Linked DNA regions of Nothobranchius furzeri. Each later gene encodes a partner of the first gene's protein in a complex. Links are inferred from orthologs where the notes say so. Each region holds a gene or a part of one and is shown on either strand. Other genes may lie near its edges.

Evidence for each region. Proteins that work in one complex are often made in the same cells at the same time.
Region 2: the proteins of crhr1 (region 1) and crhb are in contact, whole or in part, in a cryo-EM structure (PDB 6P9X), measured with the Homo sapiens proteins. The link is inferred for Nothobranchius furzeri from reciprocal best matches to the Homo sapiens genes CRHR1 and CRH. Residues at the interface, in NP_004373.2 of Homo sapiens: Lys113, Tyr116, His117, Ala119, Val120, Asn123, Trp169, Val172, Gln173, Met176, Ser177, Pro178, His181, Thr192, Tyr195, Asn196, His199, Phe203, Phe260, Gly261, Lys262, Tyr267, Tyr272, Gln273, Met276, Ile277, Leu280, Tyr327, Phe330, Phe331; in NP_000747.1 of Homo sapiens: Glu156, Pro157, Pro158, Ile159, Ser160, Leu161, Asp162, Leu163, Thr164, Phe165, His166, Leu167, Leu168, Arg169, Glu170, Leu172, Met174, Arg176.

Annotation. Positions count from the first base shown.
Region 1 is NC_091746.1:33,510,642-33,514,295, forward strand, and holds part of crhr1 (corticotropin-releasing factor receptor 1), read left to right. Parts: intron 1-1,486; coding exon 1,487-1,640; intron 1,641-1,725; coding exon 1,726-1,786; intron 1,787-2,054; coding exon 2,055-2,127; intron 2,128-3,654.
Region 2 is NC_091747.1:51,584,495-51,587,719, forward strand, and holds crhb (corticotropin releasing hormone b), read right to left. Parts: upstream 1,749-3,225; 5' UTR 1,611-1,748; intron 1,191-1,610; 5' UTR 1,171-1,190; coding exon 658-1,170; 3' UTR 523-657; downstream 1-522. UniProt on the Homo sapiens protein: Hormone regulating the release of corticotropin from pituitary gland. Induces NLRP6 in intestinal epithelial cells, hence may influence gut microbiota profile.

The DNA.
Region 1 (3,654 bases):
CATCTTTCCACCATTCTTAAACAAGACCCTGATATACTGATTTACTTTTTGTCTGTGAAGCACTTTGTGACTTGTGTCTGTGAAAAGTGGTATATATATATAAACTTCTTCTTCTTCTCCTTTTTAAAACTTTCCTCTTTGGGCTGGAACTTGTCCCTGACCTGGAACAGGTGTTCTACCCCTTTTTGACTCAAGAGCATGGTCTCAGATTTAGGCCCTGTCCACACGTAGCCGGGGATCTGCCAAAACTTAGATATTTTTCTACGTTTTGGCCTGTCATCCACACGAAAACTGAGTTTTTTTTTTCACACGAAAACGGATCTTTTTAAAAACTCTGGCCAAAGTGAAGACCTGCGTTTTCTCCATTTTGGGTGTCTGCGTGTGGACAGACAAAACCGGAGCTTTAAGGTCCGCAACGTCACGTTCCGCGACAAAAAAATGCTGACATCACGTGTGCGACCTGTGTTTACACTAGCCGACAGCATGGATGCCCACAGAGCTGCGCTCGCTTTATCAATTGTCCAAGCGCTTTCTGCTTGTTTGTTTTTGCAAGCGGAATTACTGCTCCTTGTGGAAGACCACAGACGAAGGACGAGGTTAAGAACGGGGGAAGCACTGCCGCCTACAGGTCTGGCATGTCCTTAACAACGTATTTATCCGAGTACGTGTGAACAGAGTTTTTTTTTTAAACGAGGTGGTGTGGATGCAAGTTTTTGGAGGGGCGGATATTCGTTTTTAAAAAAACCCGGCTACGTATGGACTAGGCCTTAGAGGAGCTGGTTCTCAGCTCAGTGATATAATAAATGCTAATTTGTGACACATGTGTGAGTCTCCTCTGTACGATAAACATTATGTCTGTATATTGCAAGAATGTAGAGAACCTTCACAGAACTAAGTTGAAGACATTTATAAATGATGTAGGAGAACATTAGACATCGTGGTGGATCAGAGCAAAGGGCTAAAGGCCAGAGTGTCAGTTCTGTCAGAGCTCAGTGAAAGAGGACAACTTCACTGAAATCTGAAGACATTGATTCTCCGAGGACAGGAAGATGTTTGGAGGTGTAAATATTTCATGCACTTCGGAGGAGTTAATAATGAAGCAATTAAAAGAATTTCCTTCCCACACAGTTCCAGCTGGTCTGTTTCCAATGTGCTGTTCATTAGCATGAATGACTCATGCACCGATCTAGGCCTCCTCCTTCATTTGGTTGTTCTCATCTGCCAATTTCTTAAACAGCCTCCTTAACCACACCAGTACAACTACAAATCCCACAATCCTTTGGAACAGCTCTGTTCTCCTAATCTACCTCCCTTCTCTCTTCTCTTCCTCCCCTCATCCCTACCTGTTTCTTATCCTCTTTCTCTTCCTTTTCCCTTCTTACTTCTTTTCTCCTTATCCTTGTTTCTCAATCTCTTGTCCTTCCTAAATCTTCTTTTTCCTCTTTATTTGTCCTCTTCCTTTGTCCTCCTCCTCCTCCCACCTCAGGCGTGGTGCAAGCTGGTGACAGCAGCATATAATTACTTTCATGTCACCAACTTCTTCTGGATGTTCGGTGAGGGATGTTACCTTCACACTGCCGTTGTTCTCACCTACTCCACCGACAAGCTCAGGAAGTGGATGTTCATCTGCATTGGCTGGGGTTTGTTCACCTTTTCCACCTGCTCTGCCGTCTCCCTTTTCCCGCCAGTTCTGTCCTCTCACCCGTCCATCCATTCTGGTCATAGGTATTCCGTTTCCTGTCATTGTGGCCTGGGCTTTTGGGAAGCTGTACTATGACAATGAGAAGTGAGTCACACAAAAACACTGAATCTATGTCTCAGTGGTCCAAGTGGAGCACAGGTTAATGCAACACATCTGTACCTGCCAGGTGTCATGTGACACCAACCTGAACTCTGCAGGTTAAGGATGTCACTGAGTTCCTGATGAAGTATGTTGAACAGAAGACTTTGTTTCATTGCAGCGGACAAAAATCCAGAATTTCATCAGTTCACAATGTCACAATCTCAATATTTGTCTGATTGATGTCTAATGGTTTCTGTGTTTTAACTGGAAGATGCTGGTTTGGAAAGAAGGCAGGTGTTTATACAGATTACATCTACCAAGGTCCGATGATCCTGGTCCTGCTGGTAAGCCCACCCTAAAGGATTAAGATCTTTTTCTTTATGTCTGTGAGATTATGACTAATCTTTATGCTGCCTTCTTGGACAAATAGTTGAACAGATTAGTTTTGACTGAACCCAGATCAATTGACTTTTATATCGGGTAACAACACTGGTCTCCTCAAAGCACTACACAAAAATTAGTGAGACAGTTTCAGATCCAGCCCAGATTTAGATCCAGCTAGATTATAATCTAGATCATGTAAACTGGAATCAGCAAATTTTATCTAATCTTCACCAACACAGCCCTTCATCCTGAGCAGAACAGTGGAGGGAAACTCTTTGAACAGAGAGTGTTTAGTTTTAATATGGGAGGGTTGAACAGGACACACTTCAACATTGTCACAAGTAAACTTCAATACAGGCTATGATTCAGTAGCTTCAATAAACATAATTTGTATAGTTAAAACAGAGAAACAGGACTGGACCCCTGAAACCATCACTATTGATGATCATTCAAAAGCAGCTGCAAGTTCTGCATTATCTTTTATTATTATCTAGGCTCCTCCCACTCAGTGGACAGGACACGCCTCAATATATCCATTTTTGATTATGTGAAAAGCTGACAGGAGTCAGGTCTTGTTCTAGTTGGATTAAAGCTCATGGTCTTTAATCAAGTGTTTGACACTAAGCCGATACACCTGTGGCGAAGCGGACAAACAGCCCACATATTGAACAGATCATCCTAATAGCATGATCAAAGCTGAAGGCAGGTGACTGTGACACAGGTTAGCATTCTGTTATCATGCTAATTATTTAACAAGAGGAACGAAACGTCCTTCAGAAATAGAACTGTGATGAACCATCTTTAGTCTGAGGAAACGGGAAAGAGACACTGATGCAGAAATGTTGGCCCTGTCAAGTTTTCAATAAAAAATAGAGAAAACCAAATCAATGGAAGCCATCCATTCATTTTCGGCCGCTTATCCGAGGTCGGGTCACGAGTGCAGTAGGCTAAGCAGGGAGCCCCAGACTTCCCTCTCCCCATCTTTTGTACTTTCTTGCTGTGTTTGTCTTCAAATTCCATTTTTGTTTTTGTTTTTTTAAACACAGATAAGGTTTTTCTTTACCTTGCTGACATTTCGTTTGCGGTTGCAAACATCTTCAGAGCTGACACGGATGGTGGCGTCACTTCCTACTCAGTTTATCCGTGGGCAGCAGAGGATGTTGTCGCCTTCTGCTGCCTGCTCTCCCCTCTCCCCAGCCACTTGGCTGGATTCTCATCCCAGCTGCTTCACACTCGGCTGCGAACCGCTCCAATGAGAGCTGGAGATTACTGGCAGCAACAACAGTAAATAAAACATGGAGAGTAAAGGCAGCAAAATGAATAAATGTGGTCAGTCTGTCCTCCAGCAGCATAACTAAAGGGATTAGAATATAAATACAGACACCTTCTGAAAACTGATTAATGAGCTGCAGCACAGCCCGGACCAACATACATTTCTGCCATTTTGAAAAACTAGAATTTAAAAAATGTCACCGTTTTATATGAAC
Region 2 (3,225 bases), on another chromosome or scaffold:
GAGGATTGAGCTGCACGCTTATTGTGATAGCCCACATGAACAGAGGAGATCCTAAAGCTTGCTTGTTCAAATGTTCTGCAGGGGTTGCATATTTTTCTGTGCAAAAATGTAACTTTTTACATTTGCAGCAAATATATATTATTGAGTGTCTGTTTTGGCAGGATGCAGCAAACTTTAGCTTTTTTAATACCTATTTTAATGTGTCAGATTTAAAAAGAGGATTTCTTGTTTTTTGATTAAATTAGCATTTATTTCTGTTAGTTTCTATTCAGTTATATGTAAGGATATTGACAGAGAAGTTTAAGCATTGATTTTATTTGTTTTATTAAAAAATATATGTTTGCACAACAGAACATTTCTGTTTGCACATAAGTTTATTAACAAACATAAACGTCATAAGTACAGTGATTCTTATGGTCTAAAACAAAATACCATTTCCTGTTTATGGAAATCAAACAAAGATGTGTTGTAAGATGTGAAACTTGACCCGTTCAGGTCCGTTTATGCTCCATAATTTCAGGTTAAAGCTAGAAATCATGAAGTGAAAAAGCAGCACTATGTTGCACATGGCACGTTGTTGTGCTAAGAACAATAAATAAATAAAAAATAAATAAAAACTGAGGAGACTGAGATCTTTGGCGGGTTGGAATGAGGTCTTCATTTTCCGAACAGCTCCATCATCCTTCTGTTGTTTTGCGCCTGCTGCGCCAGCTGTTCCGCCCGGGACATCTCCATCATCTCCCGGAGCAGGTGGAAGGTCAGGTCCAGGGAGATCGGTGGGTCCTCGGACCGTCTTCCCCTCTCCATCGACTCGTCTCCGGGGCCTGCGAAGCCGCTTATCAGCGCCCGGATGTTCCCAACTTTCCCCTGCAAGAGGCGCCGCGTCAGCTGGAGCTGCAGCGCCCTGTTGAAGATGGAAGATGATCCGCCGGGATACAAGGACGTGGCTGGAAATGAGTTCGAGTCCCCGTTTCCCAGTCGGATGAAATACTCCTCTCCCAGGCGCTCCAGAATAGGACCAGACTGGTGCTGAGGCTGCTGTTGGGAGTTTTGGGCTTGGGGAGCTGGTACGCGCAGCGTGCCGCCTGGGCTCTCAATAGCCCGACATTCGTGGCGCGGTAAGAAGGCAACAAGCAGAATCACGGTGGTACCAAATAAATTGAGCTTCATGTCAGGATATCAGCTGGAATCTGAGAACAAAAGACAAAGAGGACACATTTTTGGGTTAGTGTTAATGTACGCGCGCAAATGGCGCTGCGTAAAGATGCTTTTGCGCACGCAAAACAGACACTTGAACAATCAGTCATTTTAACTTATATTTTAGGGTAACATTGAACTAATATTGATGTGATTCGCTGACTATTTTTATTATTAATGACATGGGGGACGGGAGATTGGAGCAAAAAACGATCTGCGCGCAAATTCGGATTTGGTTCCAAACATGACTTTTAGAAACAAAGCAAACAAAACGAGGGAAATACTTTCACTGAGAACCGAAATACAAATTCATATGTATTTATCTGAAGAATTAGAGTAATCAAATCAAATGAACATTATGAATTAACCTGTAACAGAAAGTGGAGGTTAGAATAGGAAAACCCTTTCCATACCTTCACTGCAGGTAGTCCAGTCGCCTACAGCCGTGTAGGTTGCCAGGTATTCGGTGAGGTGCCGCCCTCTTTCACTTCTTTGAAGAAACAAGCATCTAGTTACTTAAAGAGGAGATGCTGAATGGCACTTATATAGCCACCGTCACTACAAGTGCGTCTCTGAGCCGACGTTGAGTCTGCGCGCTCCTGCCTGGGTGGAACGTGAATGGACGCCTCTAAAGTGCTTTGGTTCAGATGAGATGAGTCATAAGTGAGCGTGCGTGCGCGTGCACGAGCGTCGACCCCTGTGCTTTCAGAAGGTGTGTGTGTGGGGGTGGGGGGGTGGGGGTGGGGGTTAGGTGCCACACCTGAATGAGTTAGATTCTTAGATTCCAAGAAGGCACAAGTCAGAAGTTGAGGGTAGCTTAGGGCAGAGACCAGCTTCAAACATCATTTGTTTAATCTGCTGTTGATCTTTAAAGAATTAGATGTTCCAGTATGTAATTTCTGATTTATTATTCCCAAAATGATCGTGGAAACGCTAAGGGGGGATTTGGGGGTGCATTCCAATACGAACCCACTTCTGCACAGTGCATTAATAACGATTCTTAATCTGTTGACCTGTGATGCATGCACCCTGGGCTCATGGAGAGGTGATGCTCCCAGTGATTCTTTGCTGACAAGTGCTGCTATTTTTGTGCAGTGCTTTGTATTTATTAATCCAACGTCTGTAAAACACATCAAGCTTTTTGTAACTGAATGATGTTGACTTTTTCACAGATCTTTTAGACTTTAGACTTGTGTTTTGTCTCTGAGATGTACCTTAAGAACAAATACAACATTTTATTTAAACATTCATTTTGATAGCCTGAGGTGAGGATGAATAATTCATTTACATCCTCTTTTTTTCCGATCAAGTCTTTTTGAGCTTTATTCTTGTTTTACTGAATCCTCCTTCTAGCAAAGCAGTCATATTTTCTCGGGCAAGACACGTAACCCACATGGTCGGAGGGACCGGTGGCACCAGTGCTCAGCAGCCTTGCTTCTGTCAGTGCGCCCCAGGACAGCTGTGGCTACTATGTAGCTCATCAACACCAGGGTGTGAATGTGTGTGTCAATGAGTGGATGATAGGACTCTGAAAGGAACTATATAAAATTCAGGTATTTACCATTTGCTTAGAACTCCAGTTTGTTAACTTAAACTTTAGACTTGCATCTTAGGTGTGTTCTTGCTGTGTCTTTCTAAATCCATGCTTTCGTTCTTTTTTAAACACAGAAACAGTTTTGTTGACCTGTTTGTAGCCAGTTTCGCCGACGGCTGCCGGCTTCTTCAGGCTGACGCTGATGGTGGCGCGTCACTTCCTTCTCCGTTTATCTGCGGGCAGCAGAGGACTTTGTCGCCCTCTACTGCCTGCTCTCCCCTCTCCGACGATGCAGTCCCATGCGTGGTCCAGCGTGTAAACTCCGTCGTCCCTGTTCATGGTCCCACATCCACGTCTCCTTATCTCGATTGCTTCCTTGATCCATCTTTTGTATTTTTGTTGTTCGGTGGTTATGATCCGTGTGTTGTCCCAGTCCATTATATGGTTTTCTCTTAAGCAATGATCTGTTACGGCTGACTTTTTTATTGTACTTT